2 linked regions of the Daphnia pulex genome follow. The protein of the gene in region 2 purifies or fractionates together with the protein of the main gene of each other region. This does not show direct contact. Links are inferred from orthologs where the notes say so. Each region holds a gene or a part of one and is shown on either strand. Other genes may lie near its edges.

Region 1 (5,254 bases), on a different chromosome or scaffold from region 2:
CACGTTTCCTTGTGCAGATCAGCAATGTGCACGCCATTGTCTTTGGTCTCTTTGGCGGTACAAAATGTCGCGTCAATTTTACTGAGACGATCGCAAGATTTCGGGTCGTCGGTAGAACAGAATGGCCGGCAGAGCTGAAGGAGCACAGCACCTAAATTGGTCATGAATCCGTCGGAAACGCAGTGGACCTGTGCTGTCATATCATGCTGGGCCCACATTTGCCCACGAGCCTTGTTTAACTCCAATACTTGCCCTAGAAAATCAACAAAAGAAAATTATTTCCACCTTTTTTAAGTTTTTTATTAAAAGGTTAAAATTACCCAGCCATTTTCGGGTGAGATTTTGAACTTCCGGTGAAGATTTAAACAAGTTATAGAATATTTTATAAACTTTGTCCATAATGCGCTCTGAGGCAGACCAAATGTTTCCTTCGGTGGTGGCGTGAACACCGGGCGGTGATCTTGAAGGTCGGTCGAAAAAGTCTGAAGGCGTTCCTGGGACGCGTGGAATGCAGGAGCACAAGAAGAGGGAACCCAGTAGAGTTTGCTCGCATTGCTTCCCAACTTTGCCTATGATATTTTCATTCAAAATTGAAATAGAAACCATGTCTTTCGCCAGCGTCGGTTGTTTGCTCAAGACCATCATGGCGTCCAATTCACTTTGATTTCCCATTAGCAGGTGCATGTTGGTCAGCTTGGTTTTTAAGCTGGCAAATAAAGGTAAAAACACCTCTGTAACACCGGCAGGATTTTCGGGTGCTAGAAGGTGTTGTACAAAACTGTCTAGAAATGTAGAGGTGTCTTCAGAGGAGAAGGCGAGCAGTTGAAGAAAATCTTCATGCAGATTTTGCTCAGGAAACAATTCTGGTTGAGAGAATGCCAAGTCCAGGTTGACAAAGATGGTTTTTCTTACATCATGAATCTCTGGCTCATCACCATGGGTAAGAGAGCGCTCATAACACTGGAATAGATAATTAACCAACGAATGCTGCAGTCCAACGGCATACTCGAGAACAGCTTGGTCCAGTGCTGTCTGATCGAAACATTCTTGATTTAAGGCTTTGGACAAGTCCTTCATATAGAATAATGTGGAATTTTTCATTTGCTGAGGTTTGAGTGTGAGCCTAAACACATTTTCAGCAAATTCATTGAACCTGCCATTCTCTTGCTTAGGAATATTGTGACAATCTTGTCTTGGTGCATCTGAAACCGACGTTACGTTAGGGTTTCCAACTTCTTTGCTGAATAATGCGAGGAAGGGATTGTTATCCGTCATTTTATACAGATTCTTGGTATTAGCGCCTGTTGCAATAACATTTGTTAAATTCCTTTCAAATACATAGGATTTTTCACAAGAAAATTTATACCGCAAATTTATCCAAGGTGTCTTAATATTTTTCAATTTGTGAAAATGATTAGCAATGCAAAAATATGTTTATTTTGTTTTCATTGATGTGATCAGCTGACTGACGTTTCCCAGATGTCTTCTGCTACGGTTTTCTCGAAATTTCTATTTTTTTCTTGCCAGTCACGAAAAAATGTAAAAACAAATAAGAAGGTTAATGAAAAAATTATTTTAAATAATAATTTTCTGTTTCAAATTTAGATAATAATCTTGGACATGAATAAAATGTATATTTTTCTTGAATTCTTTTTAAAAGCATGGGAAATCTGGTTGATTATTAGTCAACGTTGTTGAATCATACCATTCAGACGAAGCCATTGTCACCCGGTGTGAATCTGCACGTTGCTTCGACAGGGCAACTCCTTGATTCAACGTCTCTTTAATTATTTCCTTTAAATCAAGTCGCTGGAAACTTTAATTCTCAAAAATGGCGATGCACGTACCTAAACCACCCGGTTTCCAGCAAATGATGAAAGAGGGCTCGCGGGTAAGAACAATTTATACACTTTACCGATTCAACTGACGTTTCTCGTGACTGGTCGTCTTGGTGATGCCCGACGTGTGTCAAAAAATGAGTTTTTGAACTTTGCTTTATTAAGCGATGGAAGGAAACATTTATGTTAGAATGCCTGACTATGGGAACTAAGTAAAGCTGATGGAATTTTTTCCCAGACATCTTTTCGTTTATTTTCGTAATAATCTTAATTTGGTAATGAAAAACCCTGAATTCTTCCCCACAGATGTTTCAAGGTCTAGAAGAGGCTGTCATCAGGAACATCAGTGCTTGTAAGCAGCTAGCAGAAACTGTGCAGACAGCTTATGGTCCCATTGGCATGAACAAAATGGTTATCAATCACTTGGGAAAACTCTTTGTTACAAACGATGCAGCCACAATCATTAGGGAGCTTGACGTAAGAATATTTTTGGTTTCACAAAAGAATTTTTTTATAAAATACAATCTGGTTTAGGTGGAACATCCTGCTGCCAAGATGATGATTCTTGGTTCTCAAATGCAAGAACAAGAAGTTGGTGATGGAACAAATTTTGTCATCATCTTGGCTGGTGCCCTGCTGGAACAAGCTGAAGCTCTAATTCGTATGGGCCTGACTCCAAATGAAATCGCTGAAGGCTATGAGAAAGCTTTAGAAAAGGCCTTAGAAATTTTGCCTAATTTGGTGTGCCAGACTGTTGAGAATGTTCAAGATTCGGATGTCATTACAAAAGCCATTACAGCCGCTATCATGTCCAAGCAATATGGTAACGAGTCTTTCCTGACTCCGCTCATCACTGAAGCTTGTGGTACGTAAATGTAAAAGAATTATTCAACTTCAAATTGTAATGATTTATAAATTCTTAACGCAGTTTCAATCCTGCCGGACAAGAAAACGACATTCAACGTTGACAACGTGAGGGTTTCCAAAATCCTTGGTGGAAGCTTGTATCAATCGCAGGTCGTACAAGGAATGGTTTTCAAGCGTCAAGTAGAAGGAGACATCACTAAAGCTGAGAAAGCCAAAATTGCCGTCTACACTTGCCCCATTGACTCTGTCCAGACTGAGACCAAAGGAACAGTTTTGATCCAATCTTCCAAAGAGTTGATTGATTTCTCTCGTGGCGAGGAGAATATGCTGGAAAAAGAAATCGCTGCCATCGCAGCATCTGGCGTTAAAGTCATCGTCTCTGGTGGCAAGATTGGTGATCTCTGTCTGCATTACCTCAACAAATACGGTATTATGGGTGTCCGCCTCCAGTCCAAATTTGATCTTCGTCGACTATGCAAAGCCATCAACGCGACTGCCCTTCCACGTTTGGTAAATTAATCTTTTTAAATTCATTAAATTCATTGAATTCATTCATCTCTTTTGATTCAAGACCCCTCCGTCGGCCGAGGAAGTTGGTTACGCTGATCACATCTACACTGATGAGTTTGGAGACACCGCAGTCGTCATCTTCCGTCAAGACGAGAAAGAGTCTCGCATCGCCACCATTATTGTTCGTGGTGCTACCGACAACTTCCTCGACGACATTGAGCGAGCGATTGATGATGGAATCAACAACTTCAAGGTCTTGTCTAGAGACGGTCGACTTGTACCTGGAGCTGGAGCGGTGGAAGTCGAACTAGCCAGGCAAATTAACCAGTTTGCCGAAAAATGCCCTGGATTGGACCAGTACGCCATCCAAAGGTTCGCACAAGCTTTGGAAACTTTCCCACGGATCTTGTCTGATAACGCTGGACTCAAGACGACCGAGACCGTAGCCGCTTTGTTGGCTGCCCACCAGGAAGGCAAAGCTACTACTGGCATCTGTGTCGACGTAAGTTTTCTTTCATCAATTTTTGACAATTTAAATCGCATTTCGATATGATAAATTGTATTGCTAATTGGTTCATTAAGGATCAAGGCGGTTTGATTGATGCTGTTGAATCCGGCGTGGTCGACCTGTTTGCGGCTAAATACTGGGGTATGAAGTACGCCACTGCGGCAGCTTGCACTGTTCTTCGTGTCGATCAAATCATCATGGCGAAGAGAGCAGGTGGTCCGAAAGCACGTGATGCTGGTGCACAAGACGCCGATGATGATTAAACATTGAGTGAACAAGAAGTTTCTTTTTCTTTCTCGCATTCGCTGAGTTCCACAGTTGCATTGGGAAAATGCTATCTCCTTAAACACACTAACTACATTTTTGTCCACAGCTTTTGTCCGCAAAATACATTCATCAAAACTAGTTTCAGGTTTTTTTTCAATTATCGTGTTTGTTGGCTTAAGCAAATAAAAAAAAAAAATGCTGACTTGATTATTTGTTTTGAAATTTTAAAAACTTAATTTTTAATAATGTAAATTTGCAAGGTTGCAACGATATCAAAGTATAGAATCTCTACCACGATGAGCTCGATCTCAGCAGGACGTCAAAGTAAGTAGGCGACTTTGCATGGGTAATTTTTTGGATTGGATCGTAATTTCAATATCGTTAAATAGAAAATGAAATTTAATCATAAGCAAGTTTAATGACATGATTAATACAATATATTTTTTTAAAATTAATGTTTCGCTTTGCGGCTACTCTACAAGAAACCATGGAAACCAAGCAGACAAAGGTTTAAGGCTTCATTTGAAATTTTCTTACAATAGCTAAGGACGGTTTTTTTTTTCAACACAATTATTTTTAAAAAATGCCAAATACATGCTGCGTTCCAATGTGCACTTCCGGTTATCGAAGAAAGGGAATTGTTACCGAAAAAATTGCAATGTTCAGTACAAAAGACCCGAAAATGCAAAAGAAATGGATGAAATTCATTCCAAGGAAAAATTACGTAGTCAGTGCTAAGTCGCGGGTGTGTGCTCATCATTTTTCAGAATGTGATATAATCAAAGGGTATTTCATGCATGTTGGAGGAGAAAAAATATTCCAGGAACATAAAAATTGGAGACTTAAACCTGAGGCAATTCCAAAAATATTTCCAAGTTAGTATTGTTTATGTGTTATTACAATATCCACTTAAAAAAATTTAATTTGTTACTCTTTAAGATTGCCCGTCTCACATGACTAAAGTCGAAAGCAGTGGAAGAAAAAAGAAACTGGATGATATCAAGGAACCTTTCTCTAAGGAAATTAAAGTTAGCATGCAGCCTGAAGGAAAAACAGTTACTATTGTGACAACGACTGTAAGGCCTACAGATTTTACCGATTCTAATGAAAGTGAAGAAGCTGCAGATAGTGCTCAAGACATGCCACTAACACCTACTGAGCACATTGATTGGGAAACAGAAATTGGCAAACTTACATTTCCAAGTAATTGGTCGTATACCAAGCAAAACGACGAATTTCACATCTTCAAATTAGAGAAAGATCA
Region 2 (4,814 bases):
CAAACCGGATACAACCGGTCTCTAGAAAATGGCTAGAGGGGGAGCTACACTGTAAATCTAAATCATCACATCGTCGGCTCAGACGAGCGTCACGTTCTCGAGGCTTTACAGAATCTGGTCAAATCGAGAACGATTTCTTGAGGTGAACTACTTCGTTACGCTAGTCAATTGGCACCTGCCTCGAATAGGTTGAAATTTTCTTCCTATTTCCGCGAATTCTTTGTACTCCTGCATCGATTTCTTTACCATTTGTAGGTGGATCGAACTAGACTCCATCAATATTCTCGTCATAGCCTCTAGTTTTTCAGGGTCCTTTTTGTATTGATTTCCTTGGGGAGTTTGAATTTTAAAACGAGGGTGCCCACAGAGTCAACGTTCTTACACATGCTTTTGTAACTCCTTATCCCCGTTTCAGAGATATTGCGTGCATCGAACTGGTACAACAAATCGTAGAAGCCCATCCTCATCTTTCAGGTTGGGAACCAAAAAAACTGGCCATCTATGAAAAAAGCTGGCAACCGGGAAAAACCAGTCGAGGTACGTAGTCATACTTGCGTTCGTTCGTTATCTGTTTGAATCCTTCTTTCGTCATACTTTTTACCTTCCCTCTCTCAAACGAGTCGGACTCGATCGTACTAAATTCCAGAATACCAAATCATGTTGTATTTGCTATTATTTAGCTCGACTTCGTCGCTTGAATGATTTCGATTGTCCGCTTCTACTTGCCCAACATTGGCAGGCCGATGATACCAATCTCGATGCCTCTAGCTGTGCCAAAACTCTAATCCTTCAAGAAAGCCAAAATGGAGACATTCCGGTAAAATACCATTGCGGGGCTCTAATTTTCGACATATTCCATCGCTAAACTATAAGCGCACCCATTTTTTCTTCTTTCTATATTTCAGTGGGAGGAATTTACAGTGGCTGAACTATCAAGTTTCCTTAAGGTTTTGGAACGTGAAGAGAAAAATCACGAAATGCAGATTCGCGAGAGATACCAACTACTTAACGAGCGGCTACGAGAAACTATGCAACTTTCGAATCCAACAGCTTACAAAAGCATTTCAAGTAATCAAACCAACCACTTAGCAGTCTCAAATTGAATTTTAAAGAGAAACATAAAAATATATATGATGTTAATACCTGCTGATCTTATACAGAATCCGAGTGCTGTGATAGAAAGCTAATAAAACAATGTTGTTGATTCAAATTCAGTCATTCTTTTCCAAGTTTTTGCTTAGTAGTACAGACAAATTCAAAATCTCAAATGTCACATTCTTATGATATTTTCCTTATTTTAATTACAAATCAACGATCCGATTCACGAGAGGATACGAATTATTAAAAAAACACGATCTAAGATAACCTGATGAGAAGTTTTCAGACATTAGTCATACTCAGTTTTGATATATATAGGTATTAAAGCATTAAACTCGTAAAATTTCAAGGGATCGATTGTAGCAAATGGCAATCCAATCAGGTTGTGTTGCTCCCCACTGGATTTGGTTGATTTCACCTTCAGCCGCTGTGTAAGCAAGTATGGGATCTTCAATGGCTCGCGGCATTTGCTGGATATCCCATATCAAGGCTTGATGGTCATCACCTAAATTATTACAAACCAGATCAAATCGGATCAATTATATACAGCAATTGGCAGCATACATCGTGCACACGGTACTTGCACAATTCTAGTTACAAATAAAAAATATTTACCAGCTGTGCAAATATGACAGGAAGAATGTGGGGCCCAAGCGATGCCATTTACACATGCCCTGTGATTACTCAAACGAGCGACGGGAGTACACGGCACTCTTACATCGAGTATTACCACCTAACATTTGTAACAAAGAAATTTGTAACGTGTTCTCTATTTGAAATGAGGTGAAAAACCGAAAATACTTCACAAGCATCCATGGATATCGTTGCTAAATAAGAAGGGTCCTGTCTATTCCATGCTAGTCTTAACAGAGGACGATGCTGAGGATCTTCATATATGATTGTTGAATGTTCTAGGTGTCTAAGGTCAAACATTCTCACGGAGCCATCAGCGCCAACAGATGCAAACATATCTCGCCCGCCTCCTGCCCGGCTGAATGCGATATCATAGACCTCTTTATCATGTGCGATTAACTGAGTTTTTACGTGTCCTGCTACACCAGGGCCACCAACTCGACCAACAACCTTTAAGATAAATAGTTTGTTATAGAATAATAAGATTTAAAGAAGTTTTAAAGATATTGCTTTACCTGTCCAGTTTCCAAACCCCATATGGTACATGTGGTGTCAATACTAGATGTTCCAATAAGGTTAGGTTCAACTTCATTCCAATCAAAACTTGTAAGAGGAGCACAGAAGTCTGAGTTTTTGTTCTAGAAATTGTTTTCAATGAATTAAATTTCTTGTAAATAATAATAATTCATGTAAAAATTACATTGTTAAGGAGGCATTCTAATCTTGTGTCTGGTTCTCCTGCTTTCCATATGCGTAGATAGTCCCCACTTGTAGCCAGTAAATCAGGAAAAACACCTTTCTGATAACACACTTAATTATTAACATTTCTTTAACCATATTTGAAACAGGATAGTTCCATACCGCATCAGGAATCCACATAATTTTTGTAGTAGGATATGGATGATCAAAAGTACTTTTGGCACTGAATTCTGCTGAATCTTCATCTAATGAAATTACTTGAACTTTGTTGTTGTATTCTTCTACAAAACTTCCAATAGCCAATCTAATTTGTAAAGGAATTTGAGGTTAGTCAAGTTGAATATTACATTTCTTAAACATAAAATACATAATTTTAAACTTCCTCCCTCACCTGAATCTCTTATCTGGACGCACTGACCAATTCATACTGTAAAGAGTCCATGGTGCTTCGTACTTGTAAATTTCCTTTCGTTTGGGAGCAACATTTAGCCCCGCCATTTTTTAGAAAACGACACAATTCCCGGGAATCGTGATCAAATATGCAGAAGTGTTAGAATTTCTTATGTTGGCAATTTTAACCGGAATGACAGTGGACCCACGCAAACAAATAAACCTATCTATTAACTTAGGCCAGACAAGACAACCATTAAATTTTCTCACACTGAAGCTGTACACCAAGCGGTAGAAGTCTGAAACGAAAGTCAGAGTCAAAATCAAATACAGGCAAAATAGATACGATATTTTGAAGAAGAGCGCCACCACCGCTAAATATTGTCTGCTACCGATCGCTGCAGTGCTTCAACGTTCAACCGTTCAACCTTCAAGTAGTAACGTCGCAACTACAATTTGTGAATATTGTTATGTAATAACTCGGAATTTCTTGACAACTTTTCAGTCTCGGTCTTAATACTTTTAGATTTAAAGTAATTGCGATACTATAGAACGAACGAAACATCATACTCCGTATGTTATTATTCCTTTTTAATTTAATAAACACAATCGACTTCTCATGACCGAATTGGTGAATTATCAAAATATTTAGAAATCTAAAATATTTTGGCATTCATGATCAGTTATGTGTACATTGCTTCAACAATTTATATTACACTATTAACAATTCCTCTTTGATTGTGTACAGAGAAATGGAAACATCAAGCAAAATAAACAATGAAATTGAGTCTTTAAATGCTGAAGAATTAAACTGGATTCAGTTAAGAGAGGAAATTGGATCAGAAAGTTTGAAGAACCAGGAGACATTCAAAGAAAAATTCAACAGAAAATTTTCTGAAAATCCTTTTGTTCCTATTGGGTGTCTAGCAACTGCAGCTGCATTGACATATGGCCTGTGGTCCTTTCGTCATGGGTATAACTTTACAAATTGATTGTTGTGTGGTTATTGACCATAATATATTTTTTTTAAATCTGTAATTGTTTGAATTGATTCATTAGGAGACCCCAAATGTCACAAAAAATGATGAGGCTCAGGATTGCAGCACAAGGATTTACAGTTGTTGGCCTTATGGTTGGAGTTGGTGTTGCAAATGTGAAAGAAAATGTGTAAACTTGTCTCTCAGTCCCAATGTATCATATTATTTAGTACACATACATGAGACTTCTCATAGTATAATACATAAAAAAAAAACTCCCTCAATCTAGTGGGATTAAATGTATGGAAATCGCAGTTGAATTATTTTGCCACTCGACAAGGCCTACTACTACAGTAACGACCCCAATCGCTCGTCTTTTCATTTAATCAATTTATATTTTAAAAAACGTCTGCAATGTAGCAAATGCTAGCTCCAGGAAAAAAATAATTATTGTTAATGAATGATCGGAATGACGCGCACAGCCGCAAGACATTTCCTTCTTTTACACGGAAAACGGTTTGGCGCTATTGTTAAAGGACATGTTGCTATGGCAATGTGGAAAGTAAACACAGGAAAAGTTTTTTCAAAATCGTTGGTTTGGATTAACAATTTGTATTCGCGATGGAAATCATGTGTGATAGCAACATTGGTATAGATTATGAAGCCACTGGTAAATCAAATGATTTGGCGGTAAAAATAATTCTTCTTGGAGATAGCGCCGTAGGAAAATCAAAGTATGGATTTGTAGATTGATTGAGCGATGGGTATATGAAGCCATCTTCATCTTGTTGGATAGTATGGTATCCAAAAGAAACTGACGATAAATTTTGAACACAAATGCCTTTAATACTAGGAATGGCAGGAATATTACTCAATTGAAAATAGAGATTTTCTATATTGAGAATTGGAGGCTCTGACTCCCTTTTGAATTTGATTTCCATGAATGAACTGTTCAGCTTCTTTCTGTGCATTTAAAACTTTCTATATCTGGTAAATCCACAACCATCTAACTGCGCC

Evidence for each region.
Region 1: the proteins of DDB1- and CUL4-associated factor 7 (region 2) and T-complex protein 1 subunit theta-like purify together in Homo sapiens (affinity purification with mass spectrometry; 3 studies listed by BioGRID and IntAct, with this or other methods). This does not show direct contact. The link is inferred for Daphnia pulex from reciprocal best matches to the Homo sapiens genes DCAF7 and CCT8.

Annotation. Positions count from the first base shown.
Region 1 is NC_060021.1:169,353-174,606, forward strand, and holds T-complex protein 1 subunit theta-like, read left to right. Parts: upstream 1-1,681; 5' UTR 1,682-1,831; coding exon 1,832-1,891; intron 1,892-2,144; coding exon 2,145-2,315; intron 2,316-2,372; coding exon 2,373-2,703; intron 2,704-2,766; coding exon 2,767-3,215; intron 3,216-3,276; coding exon 3,277-3,717; intron 3,718-3,797; coding exon 3,798-3,986; 3' UTR 3,987-4,128; downstream 4,129-5,254. Other genes in the region: ubiquitin conjugation factor E4 A-like, read right to left, coding at 1-253, 321-1,275; uncharacterized protein LOC124194916, read left to right, coding at 4,574-4,865, 4,930-5,254. UniProt on the Homo sapiens protein: Component of the chaperonin-containing T-complex (TRiC), a molecular chaperone complex that assists the folding of actin, tubulin and other proteins upon ATP hydrolysis.
Region 2 is NC_060025.1:4,763,478-4,768,291, reverse strand, and holds DDB1- and CUL4-associated factor 7, read right to left. Parts: upstream 3,129-4,814; 5' UTR 2,929-3,128; coding exon 2,822-2,928; intron 2,735-2,821; coding exon 2,593-2,734; intron 2,531-2,592; coding exon 2,432-2,530; intron 2,370-2,431; coding exon 2,247-2,369; intron 2,182-2,246; coding exon 1,900-2,181; intron 1,832-1,899; coding exon 1,714-1,831; intron 1,604-1,713; coding exon 1,428-1,603; 3' UTR 1,201-1,427; downstream 1-1,200. Other genes in the region: uncharacterized protein LOC124202359, read left to right, coding at 416-537, 681-817, 906-1,103. UniProt on the Homo sapiens protein: Involved in craniofacial development. Acts upstream of the EDN1 pathway and is required for formation of the upper jaw equivalent, the palatoquadrate. The activity required for EDN1 pathway function differs between the first and second arches.